Linked DNA regions of Arabidopsis thaliana. The protein of the gene in region 2 purifies or fractionates together with the protein of the main gene of each other region. This does not show direct contact. Each region holds a gene or a part of one and is shown on either strand. Other genes may lie near its edges. The genes, in order: CHR11, EMB2775, AT1G10490 and AT3G57940.

The links.
Region 1: the proteins of EMB2775 (region 2) and CHR11 fractionate together in Arabidopsis thaliana (co-fractionation; one large-scale study listed by BioGRID). This does not show direct contact.
Region 3: the proteins of EMB2775 (region 2) and AT1G10490 fractionate together in Arabidopsis thaliana (co-fractionation; one large-scale study listed by BioGRID). This does not show direct contact.
Region 4: the proteins of EMB2775 (region 2) and AT3G57940 fractionate together in Arabidopsis thaliana (co-fractionation; one large-scale study listed by BioGRID). This does not show direct contact.

What each region holds. Positions count from the first base shown.
Region 1 is NC_003074.8:1,939,416-1,946,993, reverse strand, and holds CHR11 (chromatin-remodeling protein 11), read right to left. Parts: upstream 6,022-7,578; 5' UTR 5,929-6,021; coding exon 5,731-5,928; intron 5,524-5,730; coding exon 5,392-5,523; intron 5,297-5,391; coding exon 5,190-5,296; intron 5,079-5,189; coding exon 4,966-5,078; intron 4,763-4,965; coding exon 4,665-4,762; intron 4,575-4,664; coding exon 4,395-4,574; intron 4,313-4,394; coding exon 4,091-4,312; intron 3,895-4,090; coding exon 3,760-3,894; intron 3,678-3,759; coding exon 3,395-3,677; intron 3,318-3,394; coding exon 3,244-3,317; intron 3,134-3,243; coding exon 2,913-3,133; intron 2,837-2,912; coding exon 2,749-2,836; intron 2,671-2,748; coding exon 2,577-2,670; intron 2,501-2,576; coding exon 2,306-2,500; intron 2,225-2,305; coding exon 2,190-2,224; intron 2,081-2,189; coding exon 2,004-2,080; intron 1,906-2,003; coding exon 1,816-1,905; intron 1,718-1,815; coding exon 1,648-1,717; intron 1,542-1,647; coding exon 1,487-1,541; intron 1,397-1,486; and 12 more. Other genes in the region: AT3G06390 (Uncharacterized protein family (UPF0497)), read left to right, coding at 7,287-7,546. UniProt on the Arabidopsis thaliana protein: Possesses intrinsic ATP-dependent nucleosome-remodeling activity. Constitutes the catalytic subunit of several complexes capable of forming ordered nucleosome arrays on chromatin. Involved in the formation of nucleosome distribution patterns.
Region 2 is NC_003076.8:9,821,959-9,827,762, forward strand, and holds EMB2775 (ATPase family associated with various cellular activities (AAA)), read left to right. Parts: upstream 1-1,554; 5' UTR 1,555-1,872; coding exon 1,873-1,956; intron 1,957-2,039; coding exon 2,040-2,150; intron 2,151-2,357; coding exon 2,358-2,390; intron 2,391-2,603; coding exon 2,604-2,772; intron 2,773-3,196; coding exon 3,197-3,378; intron 3,379-3,891; coding exon 3,892-4,028; intron 4,029-4,147; coding exon 4,148-4,246; intron 4,247-4,331; coding exon 4,332-4,401; intron 4,402-4,489; coding exon 4,490-4,564; intron 4,565-4,716; coding exon 4,717-4,762; intron 4,763-4,852; coding exon 4,853-4,911; 3' UTR 4,912-5,285; downstream 5,286-5,804. Other genes in the region: AT5G27730 (heparan-alpha-glucosaminide N-acetyltransferase-like protein (DUF1624)), read left to right, coding at 28-94, 185-266, 351-442, 537-680, 764-910. UniProt on the Arabidopsis thaliana protein: May be involved in DNA replication and thus regulate cell proliferation.
Region 3 is NC_003070.9:3,451,367-3,459,212, forward strand, and holds the start of AT1G10490 (GNAT acetyltransferase (DUF699)), read left to right. Parts: upstream 1-1,824; 5' UTR 1,825-1,898; intron 1,899-2,193; 5' UTR 2,194-2,222; coding exon 2,223-2,327; intron 2,328-2,415; coding exon 2,416-2,507; intron 2,508-2,746; coding exon 2,747-2,918; intron 2,919-2,999; coding exon 3,000-3,122; intron 3,123-3,201; coding exon 3,202-3,375; intron 3,376-3,487; coding exon 3,488-3,598; intron 3,599-3,677; coding exon 3,678-3,811; intron 3,812-3,896; coding exon 3,897-3,990; intron 3,991-4,188; coding exon 4,189-4,287; intron 4,288-4,371; coding exon 4,372-4,508; intron 4,509-4,630; coding exon 4,631-4,728; intron 4,729-5,216; coding exon 5,217-5,340; intron 5,341-5,434; coding exon 5,435-5,522; intron 5,523-5,602; coding exon 5,603-5,702; intron 5,703-5,781; coding exon 5,782-5,834; intron 5,835-6,057; coding exon 6,058-6,234; intron 6,235-6,317; coding exon 6,318-6,355; intron 6,356-6,422; coding exon 6,423-6,516; intron 6,517-6,593; and 10 more. UniProt on the Arabidopsis thaliana protein: RNA cytidine acetyltransferase with specificity toward both 18S rRNA and tRNAs. Catalyzes the formation of N(4)-acetylcytidine (ac4C) in 18S rRNA. Required for early nucleolar cleavages of precursor rRNA at sites A0, A1 and A2 during 18S rRNA synthesis.
Region 4 is NC_003074.8:21,447,351-21,455,269, forward strand, and holds the start of AT3G57940 (GNAT acetyltransferase (DUF699)), read left to right. Parts: upstream 1-1,903; 5' UTR 1,904-2,209; coding exon 2,210-2,314; intron 2,315-2,405; coding exon 2,406-2,497; intron 2,498-2,688; coding exon 2,689-2,860; intron 2,861-2,957; coding exon 2,958-3,080; intron 3,081-3,167; coding exon 3,168-3,341; intron 3,342-3,424; coding exon 3,425-3,535; intron 3,536-3,628; coding exon 3,629-3,762; intron 3,763-3,865; coding exon 3,866-3,959; intron 3,960-4,169; coding exon 4,170-4,268; intron 4,269-4,359; coding exon 4,360-4,496; intron 4,497-4,608; coding exon 4,609-4,700; intron 4,701-5,036; coding exon 5,037-5,160; intron 5,161-5,270; coding exon 5,271-5,358; intron 5,359-5,424; coding exon 5,425-5,524; intron 5,525-5,594; coding exon 5,595-5,647; intron 5,648-5,852; coding exon 5,853-6,029; intron 6,030-6,114; coding exon 6,115-6,152; intron 6,153-6,301; coding exon 6,302-6,395; intron 6,396-6,527; coding exon 6,528-6,707; intron 6,708-6,789; and 10 more. Other genes in the region: AT3G57930 (rho GTPase-activating gacO-like protein), read right to left, coding at 1-325. UniProt on the Arabidopsis thaliana protein: RNA cytidine acetyltransferase with specificity toward both 18S rRNA and tRNAs. Catalyzes the formation of N(4)-acetylcytidine (ac4C) in 18S rRNA. Required for early nucleolar cleavages of precursor rRNA at sites A0, A1 and A2 during 18S rRNA synthesis.

The DNA.
Region 1 (7,578 bases), on a different chromosome or scaffold from region 2:
TGAACAAAGAAGTAATAAATTGTGGAAAAAATCGTCTGTTCATATATCCCTCAGAAACTCATAACTTTTGCTTAAGCTTCAGCCTAAGTTGCCATCCAATGGCCTCAAATCCTTTTGTTCAGTTTCTTTACGGAAGAGAAGTCTACAAAATTATAATTAAGTCATTTCATTAAATCCAAGTCAAACCAGGACAAACATTCATGAAAGCAGAATGAAATCCATTTGCTATGTTTTTAACATTAGCTTAACTATATGTAACAACAAAGACTCGACAGATCCGTAAACACATAATCTCATCTCATCGACAGGTGCTTCCGCTTCTTCGTCGATGAAGGACTCTCACTTGCTTGTCTTCCTAAAGGTCGCTTTGATGGTGTTGCACTCTTCAAAGATTAAAAACCAGAAAAGCATTAACCACCTAAAGAAATCAAATCAAAAGAATACAACCTTATACATGAAAATATTGCATTATTTTACCTTCGCGAGCTTCTTCTCTTTGCGGGCTTGCCTCTCTCTTTCATCAAACTCCTGGTTCTCTTTCTCGATCAGTCGAATCAGAGTGTCGCATCTTCTTGCAAGTTCCTGACTCGTGCGGGATTTCACAAACCAGTCAAACCTGAACACAGACGATGTCCTAAATGCTGCCTTTAGCTCATCCCAATTCCCATAACCAAGTTTGTGAATCATGCAGATCTGTTTTTCACCACCAAAGTTCCTCAACAGTCAAAAACTTCATGATATAATTAATGAGACAGAACAGCAAAAAGGGAAACGAGAAAAAGACATACCATGAAACGGTCACACTCTTCATTGTACAGCTTGCCTTTGTTCTGACCATATTGAATCTTCAGTTCCAGCCAAGGGTTTCTGTAGCGATCCAGTTTCTTCCCTATGGCCTTCATGATTTCGTCTTTCCTAGAGATCCTTGCCTCTCCCCTCTCAATGTTCTTAATGATTCTATCATAGTCTACATATTTAGAGGGAAAGATGATAAACTTACTTAGCATAAGCTCTTTTTGGAGGTAGGAATTACTTAGAAACATGTAAAAACACTGCATAACTTAGCATTGAAAGGTGTTACTTACCGTTCAGCTCCTTGTACCGCTCTTTAAATACTTTGGCATATCTTTCAACTTCTTCCTCTGTTTTCCCTTCCATCTCAGAGGCAATGCTTTTTATGTCGTTGCGGCCATACTTCTCACAAGCCCTGAGGAAAGTATTAAAATCTCTTCTGCTCCATGTTGAGAAACCCTGGAGATTGACAATTACAAAAAATTAATTAAAGCCTACCAAATCAAATGTCTAAGACCACTCTAACATCAAACATATTCACTTGCCTCCTCCAATAATCCCTCCTTTTCTTCTACTTCTTCAGTAGTTAAGGGATCCCCACCTTCTAACAAAAAAATTCTTAATCAGTAATAGGTTTGCTGAAAAACATGTTAACAAAGTGGGTACATGTTAACAAAGTGGGTACAAGCTTGACCTTCTGGTTCTTCAACATCAATTGTGTCTTTCAACTGATTTTTCTGATGTGTTTGCTGAAACCAAAAAGCACAAAAAGAAGCAAGTTGCTTTTATAAGGCAAAAAAACTCGCTCTTAAGCACATCAAAGGAATCAAGTGTTTCGTTTTGAGAGAGGCCTACCATGAGATAACGTACTTCCTTTTCATACAACTCGGTCAATCTCTGAATGTTAAAGAACTGGAAATCGTGCCTGAAAGAGGGACAATAAATTAGATTTCTAGTGTAAGAAAATCATCAAAACAGGGAAAAGGCATTCAACAATGAGATGGAGGTTGTTGAGGTACTCACAACTGGGGCATGCGCGGAATTCTAGGCTCTTTAGGTTTAGCTGGAGCACCTTGCCGCAATGTTTGCTTAAAGTACTCAGATTCAGAGTAGCTGAAGATACAGTAGATAAAACAAAAGGGATGTTTCTTTTAGATATGAAGACTGGCAAAATAGGACTGCACAATGTATAAGACAGAAGTAATCATTACTTGCGCTTTCTCTCCCGCTTGGGGGGATCATTCCAATTGTCGCTTACAATCTTTTTAAAATCGAGCTTGTTTTCATCCTATGAACAAATTTACAAATATATTAGTAAATTTTATCATCAGTAATGCAGAGCAAAGCTAGGGATATGACATGAAAGTTAAGACTATGCAAAGAAATATACAAGTTACCTTATTGTCATCATCAAAATCATAGAAGTCAGCACCTACAACAAATAAAACAACAGATTATCAAAACATTACAATATTCACACAACCTAATAGGGGAAATAGTAGGTAAGTGACACCCTTACTGTCATCCATTTTAAACTGTATAGCATCTTCTGTGAATTTCTTCATCTTAGCATCAAGTTCAGCTGTTGCCTCTTCTCCTTTGGCAATGATTCTATCAATATCCTCGTCTGTGATTGTGCTATCTTTAGAACTGAACACCATCTCAGCACCATATCTTACCATTTGAAGCAACTCATCCTTATTGACAGCTGCATAGTTAAGATAAATACCAATTCTGTCAGAGATGAACCAATGCATAAAGCAATCACTGTATAACGCACTTACTTTTCTGTTCTGCCAATCTCCCTTGTTGAATAACCAGAGCATCAAGTGCTAACTTCTTGTAAGCTCTTTCAATCACTTTCTCCTCAATAGCAGACTGTAAACAAACAACACATAATTAATTTTAAACCTCTCATGGCTGTTTTAACTTGAAATTCACGGAGAGGAGACCAACCTCAGTGCAGAATCGAAACACTTGAACTTCTTTTTTTTGACCAATCCTATGGGCACGATCCTGAGCTTGCAAGTCGACTTGTGGGTTCCTGCCAGAATATGCCAGACTCGTCAAACGTGAAGAGAAAGTTCATAAACTACAGTGGACAATGATGAGAGACTTACCAATCACTATCGTAAAGGATCACAACATCTGCAGTAGCAAGATTGATACCAAGCCCTCCAGCTCTAGTAGATAACAAGAAAACAAATTTCTCACTTCCTGGCTTGTTGTAGGCTTCTATGGAGGCATCTCGTTCGTCACCACCAGTGTTTCCATCAATACGGCAATACAAGTAACCACGATACATTAAATAGTCCTCAAGAATATCCAAAAGTCTTGTCATCTGACATGTGGAAAGAAAAGAATAAGGCTCAGACTTTACATAGACAAAGGAAAAAGAGAAGATGAACTGTAAGAAACCATTATATCCAGCTGTTCTGTATTAGCGTTTACCTGAGAAAATATCAGCACCCTTGAATCACGTTCTTTCAACTTAGGAAGCAATTTATCCAAGAGAACCATCTTACCTAAAATAACAATATAGAGATGCTTCATAAAAAACTTCCACAGAAATCTGAAGGATCTAGTTTATTTCTAGCCTTACCAGCATTTGTTATAAGGTGATCTCCTGTGGTATATGGGGGACCAGGTTCTGCACCCTGGAAGAGATAGGGGTGATTGCAGCATTTACGCAGTTGCATTGCAATGTTTAGCAGACGTTTGCGTTCTCCACCAGCATTAACCGCTTCAAGATCCTTCTGCAGTAAAGCCTTGTAGTATTGCTTTTGCATCTGAGACATACCAACTTTAAGTATGGTCTCCTTCTTCGGTGGCAAACCTTTCTCAACATCTGACTTTAGTCTTCGAAGAAGAAATGGTCGAAGAACCTAAAAAGATACATGAAAGCAATTAACCTACGACTCACACAGAACAGAATAAACTCAATGCAAGGAATGGGTGCATCCATACCTTGTGCAGTTGTTGCACAACTTCTTGCTGGTCATTCTCACCAGAAATTTGAAACCATTCATCAAAAGTCTCTGCTGAACTAAAAATCTCAGGCAGAAGAAAATTTAGAAGAGCCCACAGTTCATGGAGATTATTCTGCATATATGAGGACAATATGAGTACAGCAGGCTACACAGTCATTATACGGTAAATATTAAAAGTGCCCGGAAAAGCAAAAGTTAAGAGTGCAAACAGAGCCGTACAAGAAAGGTTGTTTCAACATTCAATTAGAAGCAACTTAACAAAGAAAACTTCAATGTCCAAATATTCAAGAATAAGATAGAGCAAACACCTGAAGGGGGGTCCCCGTGATAAGAAGCCGATAATTGGTGCTAAAAAGTCTCATGGTTTTAGAAAGGAGTGAATTCTCGTTCTTGATTCGATGCGCTTCATCAATGATAATATAACGCCAGCTAAACCGACGAAGTGCTGTCTTCTCTTTGATGGCCATCTCAAAGCTTGTGACACAAATATCAAATTTCCCAGCAACTAGCAGGTCTTCTCGAATATGTCTCTGCATCAGTTAGCAGACATTTCAGAATCCTGGGATAAACGTTTACATGAAATTCTGAAATGGCAGACAGCTCATGACTTACCCTCTCCTCAGGATTACCAAGGAACTTCACAGCACGTAGGACAGGACAAAACCGGCGAATTTCGTTCATCCAATTACCAAGTGTTGATTTTGGAGCAACCACCATATGGGGACCATTGATTCCCCTGTATTCATGAAGATATGCCAACAAAGAAATCGTTTGAAGCGTCTTCCCCAGACCCTAGACCACAGGGAAAAAAAAGTTTCATGATTAGCATGACAGAATATAGAGAACTTATTCTGCTTGGATCGTTGGGGGAGAATTATTTACCATTTCATCAGCAAGAATTCCATTTATGCCATTCTCATAAAGACGAATGAGCCAGTTCAAACCAGCTAATTGGTAATCTCTCATCTTCCCTTGAATACCTGTCGATTGAGAAGAAAAATAGATGAATCTCAAGCTTTCCCAGTAATTTACGCTATACTACATACTAACTGTGAGGTCACAAAAATATGTATGGTTACGCAAATGGACGGAGATGTCAATCATATTGTACTTGTTGCTCGAGACTAGAGAGACGATTAATATACAGTAATCCTAGACTAAAGAGCAAAATACAGGTACTTACAAGAGGGCTGTGTGAGTAACCGTGTGTTTCCAGATCCAGTTAAGCCATCCTCTTCTTCCTTTAGATACTCTTCGTCTTCCTCCTCTTCAGTTATTTTGGAAGCATGACGTCCCCTGAAGGTAGAAGTTAAAACCACATAAATCAGGGCCTGGCTCATCATATTTACTCTGAAGCTAGAAGCAATGATGAACCGATATTTTAGGAAAAAATTGCATCTAACACACCTTCCTTTTGCCTTCTTCTGAGAAGAAGATCCATCACTTTTAGCAAAGTGGGCAAATAACTCAGTTTGCTGCAGAAGATACTTCAGTCTCCCTTTTCCCTTATTGTTCTAAAACACATGGAATGATTCAGAATCGTCAGAACTTAAAAGCACGAGAACGAAAAGTAGCTAAAAACCTGAAATATATAGTTCAAACAACGCACCATATCCGCGTCAATGGAAGCATTCTGCGACTCCAGCATCTCTTGAATCTTCTGCTTCTTCAACTTCTGCATCTCTTTAAGTCTGGCTTTCTCACGTTTGCTGATTTCAGCTTTTTCCTCATCTTCTTCGTCCTGCTTATACCACAATGAGCCACCATGCGCAGACATTCAATGAACTTTCACTCAACAAAAATTCGACTAAAACTAACAAACGAAGGAAGACGCGAACGCCGAATCCATTGCATTAAATGAAATTTCAACTTTCCAAGTACAAAAAAGATGCAGTTCACTGAGATTTCAAAAATCACAGCCATCAAAACGAAATTAGCCTGCAGCTACCTCGTAATCATCTTCTACGGGAGCAGCCTCTCCGTCGGAGACTGGTGATTCGTCGGCGGCGGCTACTTCGTCATCGTCGGAGCCAGAAGAACGAGCAACAGCCTCGAGCTCCTCCTCATCTTCTTCTTCATTATCCTTAACCCGCTCTTCTTCCTCCTCTGACGAGAAAGCCTCATCGGAATTCGAATTTCTCGCCATGGAAGCTACGAAATCTGCTTTCGCCTTGAGATCGAGGGTTCGCTTCGCTTGTGAGAAAGTAAAATAAAGATTTTAAAAAAAAAGTGAAACTTTAGATACAAATTGCAAAACGACCGAAGCTTCAGGGTAATTTGTAACCGTTGATTAAGCTGAATAAATATATGGCTACGATGTAACTAGTCGCTTCATCGAACGGGGAATTAGTAATTAATTACCCGCCACCTGAGCAAGAGAGTTGTTTTGGAACATTCGCGATTTGGGCTTTGTTTAATCATAGTTGGGCCTGACTGACCCATAAGACCCACTTTCAAGCCCGATATTTTCCCCAACTTATTACTATGCTGGAGCTGCTCGAGAAAGATTCTCCAGTTACACTATTTTTAATCTTTGTGATTGATCATCGCCCCCAATTTGTTAAAGCTATCTCTAATTTTATATATTTGGATTTACTAAAACCAGTTAGGTATTATTAAGATATGAAATAAAAATCATGATGAGTTCATATATATTATTACTGTTAGGTCTGACTTTTTTTGTGTTGTTCTCAGACTTGTGCAGTCACTCTGTATTGGTATCAAGAGATAAAGTTTGGTGATTTTGCTAAGACAAAACTACTCTATTTCGACTGGATTAGTATCTGAAATAGCTTTATCCATGTTAAAACATTATAATATGTTTGAGAAGTGCTGAAGTGGTCATGCTACTGGGACATTTGTTTCTTGCAGTTTAATGTTTTTACATAAAATAAGATATCCATTTACATGATTTGCAGCCACAAGCAGAAAGCAAAGTGATACCTAAGAGCATGTATAAAATTACCTTTTTCATGCAGATGATTGGTTAACCACTCCTACTGTTCTTTACTCTCCTTTTTTGTATTTTGTTTTTGATTACCGTCGCCCAATTTCCTCACCAACCTTCCCGGGGTTGGCCTAACACATTCCCATTGTATATATCTACATTATCCATAACTTATACCTATAGAAATATATTAATTTTTCTATTAATCAAAAATAGATATGCATGCAAAATTTGTTGTAACAAACATTATATGTTAACGTTGAAATAAAACTACAACATCTAGTGAATTTTCCAAAAACTATTTCGAAATTTTAAACAATGAAAAATGCAAGCTAGAAATTAAATGAATTGATATTCATGTTCCTGTATATATACATTAGTGAATAGTGTAAATAAATATAAATTTGTTTCTTGGCGTGTGGGTAATAACTACAACTCATCACCGGGACTATCTATATATATATACTCACAAATAATCTCATGTAGCGGCCAACTTCATAACTCACAGTCCAAACTTAACCACAACCTAATCCACAAAAGAGTTATAGAATCATCTGATGGCGTCTACTGAGAACCCTGACCCTGAAACTGGCAAATCTGAACCGATTCCCGCGTCGGCTACACCACCACCCTCATCAGCCGCCAGTTTCCTAGATTGTCGTAAAATAGACATTATAACAAGAGTTCTGCTTTTCTCCGCCACTCTGACTGCTCTTATAGTAATGGTGACTAGCGACCAGACAGAGATGACTCAGCTCCCTGGAGTTTCGTCTCCGGCTCCTGTCTCCGCCGAGTTCAATGACTCGCCCGCTTTCATGTTTGTCTCTTTAATTAATTAAATTCCTCCAT
Region 2 (5,804 bases):
TAACACTCAGAAACTTGTGTTATGCAGCTCCATATCTGCTATTCTTTCTACAATCATCGGAGTCCATTTTGGACATATTATTTTACACTTGAAGGTCAACAAACTGAATAAAACATAAGCTTCAAGCTCCTACAAACTATCACCGTTTTGTCCTTTCAATCTCATCATTACCATATTTTTGCAGGGACATTCAGCGCGGCTAAAACATTGGATCTCCACCGGTCTTGTTCTCCTCGCTCTCGGACTTACTCTGCATTTCACCCACTGTGAGAAACACCTTGCTTTTTGGTCCAACTCAAAATAGTCTCTCTTCTCTTACCATATATTACAAACTCAAAAATGTTTTGCAGTGATGCCTCTGAACAAACAACTCTACAGTTTCAGCTACATATGCGTGACCTCCGGTGCAGCAGCGCTCGTCTTCTCTTCGTTGTATTCTCTGGTGATTCTTAAGCCACCACATTGACATTGACAACAACCAAGACGTATGACAAACTTTGGACAAATTTGTTGTTTATTATTTCGAGTGTTTGCAGGTCGATATATTGGAGTGGAAACACATGTTTCTGCCTCTAAAATGGATAGGCATGAACGCAATGTTGGTGTACGTGATGGGAGCTGAAGGCATTTTGGCTGCTTTCTTCAATGGTTGGTACTATCGCCACCCGCACAATACACTGGTAAAAAATCAGTTACTTACTCTGAAATCTTAAATAGGCCTGAATGGCTTATCATACTGACAGTATCATGATACCTGCTTTAGATAAATTGGATTCGGGAGCATGTTTTTATCCGAGTTTGGCATTCAAGAAGAGTTGGTGTGCTAATGTATGTCATTTTCGCGGAGATTCTCTTCTGGGGTTTGGTCACTGGTGTGTTTCACAGATTCAAGATCTATTGGAAACTCTAAGTAGACCGTGAAAATACCTAACTCTATGTTGAAGTTGTTATAGTTTAGGATATATAAAATCAAATTCATGGTAAGTAATGTAGTCAAATTCATGATAAGTTATGTATATTTTTCGTAAACCTTGGTCAGAATATCCTTTGTTGATGTTGATGATATAGGCCTGTATATGCATTTCAGGCCAATTTCACCGATCTACCGTATTGGAACTTAAATATCCGAATGATCTGTATCCTACTGTTTCCCACATTTTTTTACGTATTCTTCCGATAGTAATATTCGATATCCTCAGAATGGAGACGGAACCGCACCGCACTTTATCCGCAGGTGAACCGCATGTCTCCATTCGATCCGCAATTGCTAATTTACAATCTCCTAAATACCCTTACCCGATCTGCAATTGCTATTATCCACGAACCGGTATGCTACCACCGATAGTAATTGCTAATATCCGAATGATCTGTATCCTACTGTTTCCCACATTTTTAATGTATTCTTCCGATAGTAATATTTGATATCCTTAGAATGGAGATGAAACCGTACCGCACTTTATTCGCATGTCTCCATTCGATCTGCAATTGCTAATTTACAATTTCGTAAATACCCTTATCGGATCTGCGATTGCTATTATCCACGAACGGGTATGCTACCACCGATCTACCCCTACTGGAACTTAAATATCTGAATGATCCGTAGAATGCTTTTTCCCACACTTTTTTGCGCACACTTCGGATAGTATATTTCGATATCCTAAATACCATTATCCGATCCGCAATTGGTATCATCCGACGAACCGGTATGTTGACTCTAAGCAAAAGAGAGGGTTTGGTCCTATGACCTGACGTGGGAATGTGTAAGCGAAAGAAAAATAGCTAAAGACGTCTCACACAAAAAAGCTGCTAGAGGAAGAAGACGATTCACTTCTTTCCCGCCACTTTCACTATCTTCTCCGGTGGTGAGCAAAGATGTTGTGGGTCGACAAGTACAGGCCGAAATCACTCGACAAGGTCATAGTTCATGAAGATATCGCCCAAAAACTCAAGAAATTGGTACGCCTTTTTGTTCAAACCCTAGGTAATTTTTTGGAGGGGTTTTCGATGAATTGGAAGCTAATTTTCGATTCTCCTCTTAGGTTTCCGAGCAAGATTGTCCACATTTGCTCTTTTATGGGCCGTCAGGTTCTGGTAAGAAAACCCTAATTATGGCTCTTCTCAAGCAGATATATGGGGCCAGTGCAGAGAAGGTAATCCTTCTTTCTTATACCCTAATATCGTTCTGATTACTAAAAGATGAAGACTTTGAACCCTAATGTTCTTTAGCAAAGCAACATTAGGAAGTTATTCTCACTAGCACATACTCTTTATTTTCTCTTAGATTGATGTTTATCTTCTTATTGCTACTTTCTTTTGTATGTGGCAACTGAGAAACTGCTTGATTTACTTGACTTCAGGTGAAAGTGGAGAACAGGGCATGGAAAGTTGATGTGAGTTGCATTGCTTTAATTTTGAAGTTCTCGCTGCTTGATATCCATAGTCGTCTTGTGTCCTTGTTGGATCAGTAAATGTGGTTAAGATTGTATCATCCTACTTGTGAAACACAGAGATGTGAATTGTGTTTGCTGTCAATTTCTTTAGTGGGTGGTCCTCCTAGGCGGATTCTTCTTTTATACATGACAACATTGTGATACATTACGCAGGCTGGGAGTAGAACTATTGATCTGGAGCTCACTACATTATCAAGCACCAATCATGTGGAACTTACTCCAAGTGATGCAGGCTTTCAGGACAGATATATTGTTCAGGAGATAATTAAAGAAATGGCCAAGAACAGACCAATTGACACGAAAGGAAAGAAGGGATATAAGGGTAAGAATTACTGTTCCCCTTGTTCTATATAATAGTATCATTAGTGTAGACAATTTGGATTACAATGGCTTATAGTAGTTATTTGAAGCATCTATGAAGAGTGAGGCTTTTATAAGGGCATTTGATGCCATCTTCAATCCGTATACTGCTGTGGTAGACTGGGTCTACATTTTATGGTTCGTAATATAGTTTTCGTTTACTTTTTCATGTTCAATTAGATGGTTGCCTCGTATATCTAGTTTTAAGAGTTCTTGTTCAGCTGAGTGCTTCTTTATACATTTAGATGGTTCTCTGTTTTTGATTATCAACTTATCACTGGTCTCTAACATCCCTTTATGACCTGCCAAAGTAGTTCAACTTCTTTTCACATATGGATGTTGGAAGATGTCTGATACATGCAGATTTTTTTTTTTTGTTTCGGCAGTGTTGGTATTAAATGAGGTTGACAAGCTCTCACGAGAAGCTCAACATTCTCTGCGGAGAACAATGGAGAAATACAGCTCATCTTGCCGTCTCATCTTATGCTGCAACAGCTCTTCGAAGGTTACCGAAGCCATTAAGTCTCGTTGTCTCAATGTGCGCATAAATGCACCTTCGCAGGAAGAGGTACATAAAATCACCCTATGTTTTTGTAAAATATTGTTTATACAATAAAGGAGGCTTTGTGTTTAGTTCGGTGTTGAGAAACCACATCTTGTTTTGTGGCTTTTAGTGGCTATCTTAGAGCAAACTCATATCAAATCCTGTCTTAAAAATGCGCATCCTATGGGAGATGAGATCTCGAAATTGCATTTCGTATTTTTCCTTTAAATCAACTCGATGTAGAAATCGATTTGTACGTATTCTTGTGTACATTTCACTAGTTTGGCAAGAAAAAACAAGTTAAATTGTCTTTATATATCTGCTTTTATCCTTACTGAGAAATTTTTCATGACTGTCGGCGTTCTTGTGATTATTCTATTGTTCATGTGATTTAAAAATATACTATTAAGAATCTGTAGTTGCTATCAGAAATATTACCTAAGATTCAGTGTTTGCTTCATTTGGCCTTTGTAAACTTTCTTGCGAAAACCAGTATGCAAGATTATTGTTAACTAAAATGTAGCTCTCTGGTACCAGATAGTGAAAGTGTTGGAGTTCGTTGCAAAGAAAGAAAGTCTGCAACTGCCCCAGGGTTTTGCTGCTCGTATTGCTGAAAAATCAAATCGCAGTCTAAGAAGAGCTATTTTGTCACTTGAAACTTGTCGTGTCCAAAAGTAAGGATCAGAAACTTTATATATGCAGATAATCAATGAGTTTGATTCTTTTGTTGTTTCATGTTTAGAAAATTTAACTTTACATTACTTTCAACTTGATATTCATTTTTTCTTTGTAGCTATCCGTTCACAGGTAACCAAGTGATATCTCCCATGGATTGGGAAGAGTATGTTGCTGAAATAGCAACTGACATGATGAAAGAACAAAGCCCTAAAAAGTCAGACTCTAGTGAATCATTTACTTTTACAAAATAGAACTTCAAAGATAACTTTGACTTTATCATCTCTTGTGTGCTTCTTCAGGTTATTTCAGGTGCGTGGAAAGGTGTACGAATTACTAGTTAATTGTATTCCACCAGAAGTCATTCTAAAGGTCTTAAACATAACCTTATTCACTTATATATAATTATGTATTTGGGTCCCTTTCTCTTTCATTTTACTCATAGTTTATGCTTTCCCAGAGACTCCTTCATGAATTGCTGAAGAAACTGGACTCAGAGCTAAAGCTTGAAGTCTGCCACTGGGCTGCATATTATGTAAGAGTATTTTTAAACGGCTCTTAGTCTTAGATTGCGAATTTGATTTCTCCTCACCATTATCTCAACTTCTGTGTGCTCATTTGAGACTGAGTTACCATTCTTCTGTTTTGGTGGCTTGCTTGATGATATGTCTTTGGCCCTTCTTACAGGAACATCGGATGCGATTAGGTCAGAAAGCCATATTTCACATAGAAGGTATATAAACTCTTTCAGTTATTGCATATGGCCGATATAGGCTACATAAAAAATATCATCTTCTTACTTTGAGTTGGTGTTACACTGCAGCATTTGTGGCCAAGTTTATGAGCATATACAAAAACTTCCTCATTTCAACGTTTGGGTAGAGAAGAGAGGCTTCAAATCGAGGAAAAGAAGATAGACTTGCACTTGTACTGTTTATTTTATGCGTGATCCGAGGTTCTGAAGTTAAGGTTTCTGTTTAGTGGGTCGTCTTAACTTTTGATGTTTGAATTTGTTTCCCTCAACTTGACTGTCTTAATTTTAATAAACTATGGAAGCGGTTTGGCCTATCAGTCTGCAACAAAAGACTTGCCGAAACAACGCCAAAAAGTGGCTATTCAATTTGCAACTCTATGGGTTTGACGAGGGCTAAGAGCTAGAAGATACTGAAATTTTGTTGTAGTAACATTAGTTTTTTTTTAACAAAAAACATTAGATATTTGCGGTAGGCTTCTACCGAACATAGGCAAAATCTTCCGTAGCTAACAAATTATAATGATTAAATTTATAGTGATATATATTTATACCGTCCAGTATTAATATATTGTATATATTTATAATATATTTTTTTTTTTTGTAAAATTCAATTTATAATTTACAAAACTTCATAAGTTTTAAAATTATAAATATTTTTTAAAAATTTAAAGCTAAACTTTATAAAAAGTTTGTAAAATTATAATATTTAAAAAGCTATAAACTTTGTAAAGTTTATATTTTTAAAAATAAAGAATCCGAGTAAACCGGATAACCACTTTAATTTTAATTTTGGACGTCTGATAAATCAAGCTTCCTGCTTATTCGTAACTGGACTCATTTTGGTCATTTTTTAGTATGACTTTGAACTAATGTCCAATTTTTTAAGCGATGTGGGACATTGTACACATATTATTTCTTCATTGATTGAATAATACATGTCGATTTTAAAAATTTGAATTACATCATATACAAAAAAATATATATTTTATTAACTATTTATATTTTATATAAATTCAAAATA
Region 3 (7,846 bases), on a different chromosome or scaffold from region 2:
AATTTAGTGGTGGATATAACTAGCTTGACTTTAGATCTTATTCTTTCAAATAGATTTGGTGTAAGATTGATTCGACATTTCCCATTAAATCTCCAAACAAATATGTGCATCAATTCGTAACTGTACAGCTTTAAAAATACATATAATAAATGGAGTCGGCAGGTTTGTATATTAAATTAATTTGCGTGATTGGAATGATAAGCTTAAGATCCATCATCCAGTGTTGGAGGTCCCTTTAATTTTTGTCTACACATGTCACTTCCGACACCAACGGAACTCCATTTGCTTATGTGTGTATTGGATGCTTATCCCATTTAATTAAAAAAAAAAATGTTTTTAAAAGGTATTATTCCTTTATTGTCCAATTCGTATGTTTCCTAATTTTGGTAAATATGTTTTTGTTAAGTTTGAAACATCGTTCCTTGCATTACGTATGAGTAAATCATACACGAGCGTATGACCGAGTTGGAATTTACGTAATGACAGATAAATTTGTACATTTACGACATATAAAAATATGAAATCAACCTACATATCTCTTTTTTCCTTTACTATTCTGAAAATTCTAGGTTTTTGACGGAAGAAGTGAAGGCTATAATCACAGAATGGAGGACTCTGTCACGCATTGTGTTCTAGTATGCCATATTTAACACTTGTCAATATGGCTTCGAAAACCGATAATTTTCCCTAACTAAAAATAAAATAAATCTAAGTGGCCACCTAAATGTGTTTAGTTATTATCATACATGCATGCAACATTTTATCATGGCATGTGAAATGTAATCATAATGGAGGATAGACTGCTTACTACTTAAAACAATAAACCACTAATTATCAGTTTTGAAATGATTTATTTTTGTTTAAAGAAGAGATAATGTTATATAATGTTGTGGGAGACAAAGATAGATCCAAGCCAGGTAAGGTTAGCTTGTTGATCTAAATTGATTAAAGCATTTGTTGAACAAGACTTCGCCATCTGTACCACCCATTCTTCTTTCAATTATGGATTATAATTTAGTAAATATCATATATATGCCTCCATTATAACTTTTATTATTGACATTATTGCTTTCTTAAAAGCAAGTTTATTTATCAAAAACTATTGATTGGTCATTGTGAAACGTTATATTTGACCGTCAATAAAACTATACATAACGCAATACATACATTATTATATCAGGTAAAGACTAAGTTATATTAGTATCTTATAAAATGACAATAACATGTTCTACGTAAAAAAAAAGGACAAGGATTATCGGTTACTTTAATAGTTTGAATGATTCTTGATCTAATAATTAAAACATTGGCGTTAGATGTAAGTTTTTGAAATTTAAATTGATTTTAAATGAATCAGTTGATCTAGACAATTAATTTGGTAGAACACCGATCAGAGACCCTTCTTCCAGAAACTGTGATTATAAAACGTGTACTAAGAGACAAGTAAAAATCTTCGTTTTTCTTAATTTAATGCATAGTTGGCTATTTGCGTGCATCATTATTTGCACAATAGTAAATATTCGATTCACGTCGTGTGCAGGAACCCATTCTTTTATCACTTCCAGTAACTTATGACGTTTTAGGATATGAAACATATTTCACCGTTGATCTTGTTTTCTTGTTGTTGTTTAATATCATTCACCGTTGATCTTGTTATTGAGTTTTTCTTTGCTTTTCAATTCGGTTTTATGTAACCGCTAAAAATTAATGGAGAAGAAACCCGTCTTATACCTACAAACCGGGAAATGTGAAGAAGAAACAAACCGGTCGGTTATTGAATTTTAGGGTTTTAAGGTTTTGACCGATGGTTGACTTAGGGCGCGCTTCTCTGCTTTGGTACACACACACACACATCAAGCTGCTTCTTTTACCTCTCTTCTCGCTTCACTCACCATCCTCAGGTTCGTTCTCTGTCACAAACATTACTTCCGACGAAAGAATTAATTTTACAGTTAGGAATTGTAATCAGTGCGAGTAAGTACAGGAATCGAAGCCGGTTTTGTGTTTCTTTTGCTTGATTTTTCTCCGTTTATTCTCAACTTTGAGACTTTTGCTTCATTGGTTACCCTATAAAGCTTGAAACTTTATTCGAATTGAGATGTTCCATTAGATATTTTCAAACAAGTTCCTGCCTTTTTACTCTACATTAAGCTAAAACCTGTGTTTGATTGAATTTTTGATTTCGGCTTAATTAAGGTTAGGCAAAACCAATAACTGGTGTGAGAATGAGGAAGAAGGTAGACGAACGTATAAGGACTCTGATTGAAAACGGTGTTAAACTTAGACACCGTTCCATGTTTGTCATTATTGGTGATAAGGCTCGTGACCAGGTAAAATTCTTCTTGTTATAGATAATTTCTACTTTGCATTTTCCTCGGATTTCAAGTCTAATACTTTTCTGATTCTGTTATGTAACAGATAGTTAATCTTCATCACATTTTGTCAAAATCGGTGGTCAAGTCTAACCCAAGTGTGCTATGGTGCTACAAGAATAGACTCGACATTAGCAGGTTTGATTTATCAACCGATTCAAATATTAGATATTTGCAAAAGTTGAAGCGTTGAAATTTTGTTATTAAAAACTTAATTGAAGCCTAGTTAATAATTAGGTGTGAGTTTCTTTTGAATTTTCCATGCCAAGAGAATGATGGAACCTGGTTTTGTGAGCTATGTTACGCATATTTGTGGAGTTCTATTTGTTGATAACTTGGTCCTGAAAAAGAGTGGGTGTAATTGGTTTTGTGTGCAGTCACAATAAAAAACGTGCTAAGCAGTTGAAGAAGATGAAGGAGAGAGGACAATTAGATCCTGAAAAACTCGACGCTTTCTCTCTTTTTCTTGATGTGGTGGATGTTACTCATTGCTTGTACAAAGATTCTGAAAGAATTCTTGGGAATACTTTTGGCATCTGCATCTTACAGGTACTCTTGATTAATGGCTGAAGAAACATTTACTTTTGCTGCAGCTTACTCATATTTGCATCCTATTCTTACTATGTTCAGGATTTTGAAGCTCTAACTCCAAATCTACTAGCAAGAACAATAGAGACAGTCGAAGGGGGTGGGCTAGTTGTATTATTATTACAATCGCTTGCTTCACTTACTAGTCTCTGCACCATGGTTATGGTATGAAGACTGATTTTGCTAGTTATGTTGTTTGCTAACTACTTATTTGGAGTTACATGATTGGTTCTGTTCATATCAGGATGTGCATGATAGATTTCGAACCGAGTCACACTCTGAAGCTTCCGGACGTTTCAATGAACGATTTCTGTTGTCACTAGCATCTTGCAAAGCATGCGTTGTCATGGATGATGAGTTGAATTTATTGCCACTTTCATCTCATATCAAATCTATCACAAAAGTTCCAACAAAGGAGGTAATTTCTATAGCAAATTCACACTTCTTTTCATGGGTTGTTTAGAGAGATTGTCTTCCATCATACCAGTTAGCATCTTTAACTTTTCAATTTTATGTGTTTGTAATAAAAGGATTCGGAAGCGCTTTCTGAGGCAGAACGAGACCTGAAGAGTTTGAAAGATGCACTAAACGATGATTTTCCTGTTGGTCCTTTAATTAATAAGTGTTGTACATTGGATCAGGTATGTGGTTTAGTCAGCTGTGCACATTGGATTAAGAAGTGTTGCACATTGGATCAGTATTGAATTTTCTCTTTTGTAGGGTAAAGCTGTTGTCACATTTTTCGATGCAATATTGGATAAGACCCTCCGTAGCATAGTTGCTCTGATTGCTAGTCGTGGGCGTGGAAAATCTGCTGCACTTGGTCTAGCTGTTGCTGGGGCTGTTGCTGCTGGGTAGGCTTGAGTTATTTTGAGCTTTTATTCATGTTTGTTAATAGTATTTATTGTCTTATTAATTCTATATCGTATTTTCTGTTAGGTACTCTAATATTTACGTAACAGCACCGAGCCCAGATAACTTGAAAACAGTCTTCGAGTTTGTTTGCAAAGGTTTCGATGCACTTGAATATAAGGTAATATGAGCTTCTTCTGCATCACACATATGAAGCAATTTTCTAGAAACTGCTGGACTTCTTCCATTTTGTTGGGGTTGTCATAGATTTGAAATCTGCACTATCTCCTGGAAGAAGAAAAATGTTACTTTGTTTTGCATGTTAATTCAGGATTACCATATAATTTTCTGAACTCTATCTTCAACTATATATTTGAAGGAACATCTTGAATATGATGTCGTGAGAAGTGTGAATCCTGAATTTAATAAAGCCATCGTACGGATCAATATCTTCAAGCAGCACAGGCAAACTATCCAGGTCTGTCCAACCCTGAATTTTTGTAAGAAGCCGTAGTTTGTGTCGATCGATAAATTGCTTTATTCTTCTTCTTTTTTCATGCAGTATATACAACCGCATGAACATGAAAAGCTCTCACAAGTGGAGCTGTTGGTTATTGATGAAGCGGCAGCTATTCCTTTGCCAGTTGTGAAGTCTCTACTTGGCCCTTACCTAGTTTTCTTATCATCTACTGTCAGTGGGTATGTGAAACAGGAGTAAAATGCTTATATTCCCATGATATTGAAAGATATATGCATGGCTTGATTATATATAGGGTCAGTCAGGCTGCTGATTTTTGTTTGTTTTACCTTCTTTGCCAAAGCTATGAAGGTACTGGTAGATCTTTGTCCCTGAAACTCCTCCAACAGTTAGAAGAGCAAAGCCGAGCCCCTGTCACTGGTGTTGAAGGCTCTCTTTCTGGTATTTACTACTACATCTTGCTTTCACTTTTGGCATGTGGCAACCTGGATATTTTTTTTTTGTAGAGATCCCAATATTATTATTAAGAATATAGAAGTTCATCTTTTTTAAAATATCGCTCCAATGCCTTTGCGTCGGGGCTTATCAGCTAGCATTTTCATAAGAAAGAAATTTATGTTTTTGAAGTAAACCATTGCTCCAATTCCTAAGTTTGAGGAATATATGTGAATGATTTTTTCCAAGAACGTAGGTTTTGTTGTTAAGTTTGGCCTTAAGGGCCTCCGAAGGTTGATTGAAACTTCATGCAGAGTAGTCCTCTGTCTGATGGGTGTTCATATTCATTAGAACTAATGTTCTCTCACGCAGGGCCTACTACTTTCATATCTTAGTATGTAGTATTAGATATCCTCTTTTTCCTACACTATCTAGTTGATGTGATTCGTTATCTTGGGGAACTCCGTGACTGTCTGAATTTTCTTTGGATTCAGGTTGCCTTTTCAAGAAAATAGAACTTAGTGAGTCTATAAGATACGCTTCTGGAGATCCAATTGAATCCTGGCTTAATGGATTACTATGCCTTGATGTTGCTAATTGTCTTCCAAATCCTGCTTGGTATGGTATTTCACTTCATATAAATAGAATGTTGCCATCCTTTCTTGCCAACTAGTGATCTAGAAAATGATTTCTATTTTTCTTGCATTTGTAGCCATCCTCTGCCAAGTCAGTGTGATCTTTATTATGTCAACCGAGACACCTTATTTTCTTATCACAAGGACAGTGAGTTGTTTTTACAGGTAATAATAGTTGATTTTACAACCTACGTACTTTTTGCTACCTATATTTTGTTAATAAGGCATTAAGTGGTATTCTACAGCGAATGATGGCACTTTGTGTCTCTTCTCACTACAAGAATTCTCCTAATGATCTTCAACTTTTGTCGGATGCTCCTGCTCATCATTTGTTTGTGTTGCTCGGTATGCAATTGTTCCTCCTTTTCATAGCTAGAGATAATCATCAGATTTAGAGTATTGCCTTATTTTCTTTTTGGCACAGGTCCTGTTGATGAGTCCAAAAACCAGCTTCCTGACATACTGTGTGTTATTCAGGTATCGATTTCTTACTTTCTGCTCTGCTCTTTGAAATTGTTTGTTTGGAGAAAAACAGTTAGTTGGACTAAACAAAGAATAAAAGCAGCTATCAGTCTGCTTGAATTGTTTGTTTGCAGCAATTTTGTTTTGTAAAATCATGAATCTCATATCTTGTCGTTCGTATGTGATTGATTCTGGATGTAACTGGTCTTAAGTATCCTTGAAATTGATATTTATGCAGGTCTGTCTCGAAGGACAGATATCTCGGAAATCAGCTGAAAAAAGTTTAAGAGAAGGTCATTCACCACATGGAGATCAAATACCATGGAAGTTCTGTGAACAGTTCCGGGACGTGGTCTTTCCAAAGCTTTCTGGTGCTCGTATAGTACGCATAGCAGTCCACCCCAACGCTATGAAGGTAAAGTTTCTTAGTCGCCTCATTTTTTTAGTCTTGTAGGTTTCTTGTGAGATTTAACAAATTCTTGATTACATTCTATGTAGATGGGATATGGGTCTGCTGCGGTTGAACTCTTGACCAGGTAAATGCAATGATTACGACTTAGATGATTAATACATGCAAATATTTTAATTGATTGATACGTGCAGATACTTTGAGGGTCAGCTAGCTTCAATATCAGAAGGTGATGATGAACTGGAAGTGGAGCCTTCACCAGTCAGAGTTACCGAGGCTGCTGCAAAGGTTCTTGATTATTTTAATCTACCCTTGTAGGGTTTTGCATCATGCATTCTAGTTCTTACTTGAATTTTTTCCCTTAGGTTTCTTTGCTTGAGGAACAGATAAAGCCTCGTGCCAATCTTCCACCTTTGCTGGTTCCTCTTCGTGATCGACGACCTGAGAGACTCCACTACATCGGTGTCTCTTTTGGGCTTACTTTGGACCTCTTCCGTTTCTGGAGAAAACATAAATTTGCTCCATTCTACATCAGTCAAATACCAGTTGAGAATCCCTCTTTCCCTCTTCTCCTGAATTACTAATTCTAGTGTTGTCTAGCAGTTCATAACACAATTTCTAAAATATGGTTGGATCAGAGTGCTGTGACTGGTGAGCACACATGTATGCTTCTGAAACCATTAACCTTAAGCAACGATGAATTCGAAGTTGATGAGTCGGATGAACTGGGCTTCTTTGCTCCCTTCTATAAAGGTTTGTAAATTCTTAACAGGAATCAAATGTTTCTGTAGCTTTTAAGGATGACAGGTTTTGTTTTAATGTTTTGGCAAATTCTTCTACTCTGTTCAGATTTCAGGATAAGGTTCTCTAAACTGTTGAGTGATAAATTCAAGAAGATGGATTATAAACTTGCAATGAGGTTAGCACTAATCATATTCTCTCCCCATGCAAATTTAGACTTTTTCTGCAATACTATTTTAAGATGATTAGACTTTTCTTGGTGCGGTATTATTGTGTTGATAATATACTCGTTTCACAATTTTGTTAGTGTTTTGAACCCTAAGATCAACTTCCCAGAGGTTGATTTGACTGGAAATTCACCAGATGGATTTTTGAAGAAACTCGACGGAGTTCTTTCACCTTATGATATGGAGAGATTCAGAGCATACACTGCCAATCTCGTTGACTTCAATCTGGTTAGATTCACTCTCTGAGAGTCACTTATTTTAGGGAAATATGTACTATAGTCAGATATGTAATCTGCTTAAATAACTACACAATCATAAGATTCTGGTACAGACTCAGACAAATAATACTAACCGCATGTTCAAGCTTGATACTCTGTCTTTTCGTTTGGTTTGGTAACTATTTTTACTTTGTTATCTTTTCAAAGGTTTATGACATCTGCAAAACTCTAGCTCATCATTATTTTCAAGAGAAGCTCCCAGTCTCGCTGTCGTATGTTCAAGCTTCTGTACTCCTGTGTTTGGGCTTGCAGGAGTCAGATTTCTCGAGCATCGAGGTATAACATATCTACTCTTTAAAATAAATCGATGATCTGGACCAGCTGAATTATGTTTCACCACACATGTGGAGATAAATTTCTTGACACATCTGG
Region 4 (7,919 bases), on a different chromosome or scaffold from region 2:
TAGAATCTTCTGTGCTTGATTTTGACCCTACCCCATTCTCTTCTTCAGTTATGTTGCTCTCTTTAGACTCCACTGGTTTCTTCCTCTTCCTCCCATTCTCTGTCACATTTTCTTTACTTGTTACTGAACCATTTGTATCATCATCCTTGTCTTCTTCCTCATCTGTCTTCTTCACTAGCTCTTCTTCTTCTTCTTCTTCATCTTTCACCGGCTTCTGTGGCCTCCCTCTTTTCCTAAAAGCTGGAATCTTTTCTTCCTCGCCGCTCCCTCGATCTTCTCTAGCAGTAGCATTCTGCCTCTTGCCTTTTCCTCTACCTCTTCTCATAACTCTATTCAAACCAAAAACCAAAAACCTCAAGCAACTAGACAAGAAACCTGCAAGTTGAAAAGGTTGCTTTTTAATTACCAGTAGTAACTCATACCTCACAACAACACAATGAAGGCGAACTAAACTCAAACACTATAGAAATTTGTTGAAGAATGCAGACTAAAAAGTGTGAAAAGCAATGTCATTTTTTTCGATATGCACAAAAGTAGAGGATCATTCAAACTGGCAGACACTCCATAGAGGAGGAACTATTCATTGAAGAATCAACACAAGCGCAATCATAAACACGAAAGCAAGATTCCATTTTTTTCATGCATTAGAAGCAGTGCATTGAACAAGTTATTTAACAACATCCAAATACAAATTCTTTCCAAAAAGATCTGAACAAAGGAAACATATATAAGCAACACTTGAGTCACGAGACATTAAACAATTTCATCTCTTAAAAACCTATCCTTTAGAGCTCAATAGAAACCAAGAACTAAGCTACAAGCAAGTTCAATCAATTATCTTCCACGAAAACTAATTGCATGAACAGTCTAAACAAGAAAACAAGCCCTAGTTTCCTTACAATCTCTTCAAAACAGAGAGACAGAGACTCACCTGTGAACCCATTGGTCAGACTGAGACAAAAACCCCAAAAAACCTATAAAGGGTTTCTCTTTTTACTAATTTATAGTTGGGTTCTCAATCGATCTAACTCACGAGTTTCTACAGCTAAAACCCAGATCAGAGGAAAGACTAAGAGTCTAAAGAAAACTGACCAAACCAAACGGAGGAATCAAATCGAATAAAAATCCAAAGGATAAGACTCAAGTTAAAAGAAAGAGATCTAAGAGAAGAAGGAAGGAAGAAAACGAAGAGAAAGAGCAACAGCTAGAGTACTAGTGTTGGTTGAAAAAGATTAAAGTTGATTGCTTTCAAAAGGCTTCTCTTTTCTTTGTTCTAGCTTCTGTCTCTGAGTGAAACTTAAAAGAAAAACGTAAGAATGACGCTTTTTCTTCTCACTACCATCACTGAGACTGACTAAAATGGATCTTAAGCCCGTTGAAGATGGATACGGATTTCACCCACGCGCCCCCTTTTTGGCGCGTGCTTTCACATTCTACTCGTTTTCGAACTCGTTGGGTTCGGTTGGATAAGAGACGACAGCTAATAGCCGCGTTTCATCCAAACATTTCAAAACACTTTCCACGGGCTTCTTCTTTTCCTTTAACGTTTGGGCTTTGGCCCATTAGAGTTCACTTTATTTGTTATCTCTCTATTCTCTCTATCTATATACTAATAATATTCTATATGTCAAAATCATCACATTTTGTAATTCAGCTTCATCAGCTATATAAATTGAAGTTACATCGCTTCAAAATTGTTTTCAAAAACATTCAACAAAGGATTTTGTCACCAGACTCACCACTAACAACTACAAAAAAAACTAAAAGAGAGAGACACATATGATTCTTCCCGGGCTTCTTCTTTTACTGGGCCTTTTATGCTTATGCCCATTAGAGTTCACTTTATTGAACCCGATTTTATATGAATAGTGGCATTAAACCATTTCGGTCTAGTACTCGGTTATGAATGATTCATTCATTGAGTAAGAAGGACAAAAAGGTCAAAGCAGAAAAATCATAATTTCTTCGGTCCTAAACCCTACTCAACAATTTAGAAACCCTAAGTTCTGTTCCGGTGGTCCTTGTTATTTTTTTTTATTTTGGTGTTGTTCTTAAAATTCAGTTCCAAACGGAAATTGATTTCTTCGTCAGTTGCGTTTTTTACCAACACTCGAAAGCAGAACCCATATTTTGTTATTGAATTTGGGTTTTTTTTTGTCTGTGTTAAGAAGATTAAGTAGGAGGAAGAAGAAGAGCTAGTTTTGCGAGAATGAGGAAGAAGGTTGATGAACGTATCAGGACTCTGATTGAAAACGGTGTCAAATTGAGACACCGTTCCATGTTTGTAATCATTGGTGACAAGTCTCGTGACCAGGTTCTCGAAAGTTTTCTACTTGGACACTTATCTCCCTGAGAGAATGTTTTGTTGGATACTAAATCTTCAACCTTTTTTTTTTCTCTAACAGATAGTGAACCTCCATCATATGTTGTCAAAGGCAGTTATTAAATGTAATCCGAGTGTGTTGTGGTGCTACAAGGATAAACTTGACATTAGCAGGTTCTGTTCTTAATCCCAAATTCTCAAGGCTTTAGATGATTCTCTTTTAGCTCATTTTATGCTTGTGATATATATATTGAGAATTTAGCTGGGCACAAGTGTAGAATGGAATGTGAAATTTCTGATTGTCCTTTGAATAAAGAAGATAGCTTTTTTCAGTAATGGTGAGAGTCTGTATCGTTTGTTTGCAGTCATAAGCAAAAGCGTTCGAAGCAGCTGAAGAGATTGAGGGAGAGAGGACAGTTAGATCCAGAGAAACTTGACGCTTTCTCGCGTTTGCTTGATGTTGGAAGAGTCACTCATTGCTTGTACAAAGATTCTGAACGAATTCTTGGAAATACTTTTGGCATGTGCATCTTACAGGTACTTTTCTTCTTATTTATATTCATTTAGGATGACTGCCTTATGTCCCTGTTTCGTTTTGTGAGTAATTGTTACTATTTCTTCTTGATAAATTCAGGATTTTGAAGCTTTAACTCCAAATCTACTAGCAAGAACAATAGAGACTGTGGAAGGTGGTGGTTTGGTTGTATTGATATTGCGATCACTTACATCGCTTACTAGTCTATGCACTATGGTTATGGTATGAACCACAGTTTAATTTCTTATTTTTTGAGTAAGTGGGAGAAAAGCATTATCTAAGTAATGTGACATGACTTTTTTTTATTAGGATGTCCATGACAGATTCCGAACTGAATCGCATTCTGAGGCTGCCGGCCGTTTCAATGAACGTTTTCTGCTTTCACTTGCATCTTGCAAAGCATGTGTTGTCATGGATGATGAGTTGAATATTTTGCCGCTTTCCTCGCATATCAGATCTATTACTCAAGTTCCAACAGAAAAGGTAATTCTTGTAGCAAATTGAGAGAATGTTATCCAAAGTTCCAGGTAGAATTGATAACTTTACAATGTTATGTGCTACTAAAGGATTCCGAGGGGCTCTCTGAGGCAGAGCGGGATCTGAAGAGTTTGAAAGAAGACCTAAGTGATGATTTTCCTGTTGGTCCGTTAATCAAGAAATGTTGTACATTGGATCAGGTTCAAAGCTATCAATTTTATGTCTTGCTAATGTTCTTTCTTGTTGCATGGTTGATATTAAATTGTAGGAGATTCTGCGTTTTCATTTTGTAGGGTAAAGCTGTAGTAACATTTTTCGATGCAATTTTGGATAAGGCTCTCCGCAGCATAGTTGCTTTGATTGCAAGTCGAGGACGTGGAAAATCTGCTGCACTTGGTTTAGCTGTTGCCGGGGCTGTTGCTGCTGGGTAGATTTCTTGAATTAATTTTACTATATGTTCTTCTACTCATCAGTATTAATTTTTCTGGATGTTTGTGAGAATTATTGATGTGTGATTTACTTGCTCTTAGGTACTCAAATATTTACATAACTGCACCAAGCCCGGATAACTTGAAGACATTCTTTGAGTTTGTTTGCAAAGGCTTTGATGCACTTGAATATAAGGTAATGCAAAGTTCTTTTCCTACAGATTATTTTTATATTGTATTTGTTCTATTTCATTGAGAAGAACCTGCAAGGTGAGAGACATATGCATAGTTATTGAGATAATTATTGAATAGACCTACACTATCTCAAGGATAGAAGAAATCATTAAACCATTTTGCGATGTGGTCATATATGGTTCTAAATTACGTTCCATTATTATTTTTATAGGAGCACCTTGATTATGATGTTGTGAAAAGTGCAAATCCTGACTTCAAAAAAGCTGTTGTACGGATAAATATCTTCAAGCAGCATAGACAAACTATCCAGGTTTGTTAATCCCTCAATTAATTCATGATCTTCAAGCTGTGATTTGAGTCCCTTTCCGACGTGTTCCATGCTCTTGATATTTTTTATGCAGTATATACAACCACACGAACATGAGAAGCTTTCACAAGTAGAGCTGTTGGTTATTGATGAAGCAGCAGCTATTCCTTTACCAGTTGTGAAGTCTTTGCTTGGTCCTTATCTAGTTTTCCTATCCTCAACTGTCAGTGGGTATGTGAAACTGGATCTGATGCTATTAAAAAGTCATATGCATGTTCTGGTTTTAATTCAGGGATAATCATGCTACTGTATGTTACCCATTTTTTTGTTTTTATGTTTAAAGCTATGAAGGCACTGGGAGATCTTTGTCCCTGAAACTCCTCCAACAATTAGATGAGCAAAGTCGGGCTCCTGCTACTGGTCTTGAAGGCTCTGGTATGTAACTGCTGCACCTTGCTTTCATTCTTGGCTATGAAAATGATTAGGGACATTTTTTAGAGACCGCTCTATCATCCTTCAGAGGATAGACTCGTTTTTCTTAGAATCATCGCTCAGATACCCCTATTTATTGTTTAGAGCTTCGTTTTCATTTTTTCCCTTAAAGAGGCTTACAAAGATTAATCTAAATTCCATGCAAAGTAGCCCGCTTTACTAGTGTCTGATGAATTCTTCATATGTAGCAACGCTAATTATATTCGCAGGACCTGCATTTTGTGGCAGTTCTAGTTAATGTGATTCATTCCCCTGATTCTCTCAAGTTTCTTCGGACAGGTTGTCTTTTCAAGAAGATAGAACTTACTGAGTCTATTAGATACGGTTCTGGAGATCCAATAGAATCCTGGCTTAATGGCCTACTTTGCCTTGATGTTGCTACTTGTCTGCCTAATCCTGCGTGGTATGAATTTTTAACTAAAATTTTATAGTGTCTACTATCCTTTCTAGTGTTACTGATTGTCTAGAAATGTTTTTTATTTGATTTGTCTTTTCTTTCTTCTTTTTGTGTAGCCATCCTTCGCCAAGTCAGTGTGATCTCTATTATGTCAACCGAGACACACTCTTTTCTTATCACAAAGATAGTGAATTGTTTCTACAGGTAAATGTAGTTGATTGAGATCCGTACATTATTTTGACAATAGACTGATATAAGTGCATCCTACAGAGAATGATGGCGCTATGTGTCTCGTCTCACTACAAGAATTCTCCTAATGATCTTCAACTGCTGGCTGATGCTCCTGCTCATCATTTGTTTGTGTTACTTGGTATGCTGCTTGTCCTTTTCCCACACCTAATTTAATTTTCAGAACTATTCCTAACTGCTTTTAAACGCAGGTCCTGTTGATGAGTCCCAAAACAAGATTCCTGATATACTCTGTGTTATCCAGGTATATTTTTGCTTATCCTGTGCTCACATTGACCTAGAACAGCGATTCATCAGTCTTCATCAAATGGACTAATAAAGATTAAAGTATCAGCTATCAGTCTGTTATAACTGCTTTTTTCCAGTTTTTGTCGAAAATCATAGTTTCTCTAGCTTGTGTCCTTATTTATATGTGTGATTTTAAGCATCATTGTAGCTGTTATATTCAGGTCTGTCTCGAAGGAAAGATATCTGAGAACTCTGCCCTTCAAAGTTTAAGGGATGGCCATTCACCATACGGAGACCAAATTCCATGGAAATTCTGTGAACAATTCCGGGACACTGAATTTCCAGGTTTCTCTGGTGCTCGGATAGTTCGCATAGCAGTCCACCCTAACGCCATGAAGGTATTTATTTAGTTCTGCTCATATTTTTAATTGTCCAGTTAGGTTCTGTGTGCGATTAACAAGCTTCTGATTACCCTCTTTGTAGATGGGATATGGTTCTGCTGCAGTTGAACTCTTGACCAGGTAAATTCATGGAATGTGCATACAAGTTTGTAATGATGTTATCTCATGCATTACCTATAGCAATGTTATATGTTGTTCTTGAAATTTTGGACTTTGTACTCTTAATTAGGTGTGGTCATTCTCTTACTAATACTGATTGATATTTGCAGATATTTTGAGGGTCAGATAGCTCCAATCTCAGAAGCTGAAGATAAAGTTGATGTGGAGCATGCACCCATTAAAGTGACTGAGGCTGCTGAGAAGGTTTCTGGTTTTTCCTATATATCTATTTATGTGGGCTTTGGTTGTTACTTAGTGCAGAATCTGCTTCTTTTTTAAGTTTACTATAATAGTTATTTCTCTGTTTCCATTCTTATCTGAATCCATTTTTGACAGGTCTCCATGCTCGAGGAGCAAGTAAAGCCTCGTACAAATCTTCCACCTCTATTGGTTCCACTCCATGATCGACGACCTGAGAAGCTCCACTACATTGGTGTTTCCTTTGGGCTTACTTTGGACCTCTTCAGATTTTGGAGAAAACACAATTTTGCGCCATTCTACGTTAGCCAAATCCCAGTTGAGAATATTTCCATCCTCGCTTATACAAATTTCTTTTTTAATAGTTGTTTGTAACACTTATTATCTGTGTTTCGATCAGAGTGCTGTGACTGGTGAGCACACATGTATGCTTTTAAAACCCTTAAAGAATGATGAACTAGAAGTCAACGAGTCCGATGAGTTGGGATTCTTTACTCCCTTCTATAAAGGTTTGTTGATTCCTTGATCAAGAACTGAACTTTCACTATCTTCCAAGTATCTCATAATTTTTGTTCAGATTTCAAGATAAGGTTCTCTAAGCTGTTGAGTGACAAATTCAAGAAGATGGACTATAAACTTGCAATGAGGTAAGCAATAACATTTTTCTGTCTTTACTTTTTGATAACATCGATTTCGTATAATTATTTATTCGTGTCATATTATTCTTTGTCCAGTGTCTTAAACCCCAAGATCAACTTCGCCGAGGTTGATTCTTCAGGGAGTTCATCAGGTGGATTTTTGAAGACACTCAACGGCATATTATCTCCGTATGATATGGAGAGGCTCAGAGCATATACTGAAAATCTGACTGACTTCAATCTGGTTAGATTTCTTCTTTCTTTTAAGAATGGTTTACTTTTGAAAATGTCTGTGAACTAAATTGACATTTTTGGTAATGATTCTCTTGGAACCAAAATTGGACGTTGAAATGGTGCAGAAGTAAAAACATATGCCTTTGTTGTAAACTGCTTTCAGTTCTCCTTCAGTTTGTAACCTGTTTCATTGTCTTATCGTTGAAAGGTTTATGACATCTGCAAAACGCTGGCACATCAGTATTTTGAAGAGAAGCTCCCCGTATCACTGTCATATGTTCAAGCATCTATATTGCTATGCTTGGGGTTGCAGGAGACGGATTTCTCCAGCATCGAGGTAACATGTTTTACTCTAATTTTGAAGATTGCAGCCAGCTGGTTCATTATGTTTCAACAAATCCATATTTAATAAACATGCAAACACATTTGAATGTTTCAGAGACAAATGCAGTTGGAGAGGGGACAAATACATTCTCTTCTCCTGAAGGTCGCAAGGGAGTTATACAAATATCTCAATGGAGTTGCGGGAAAGGAAATCAAATCAGCTCTCCCTCGTTTGAAAGAGGTAACTTCATGTTATTCATTACTTTGTAATTGGTCATAATAGTTTACATTTACGAAACCAAGAACAAAGTTTGGATAGTGTGCAGAAAACTTT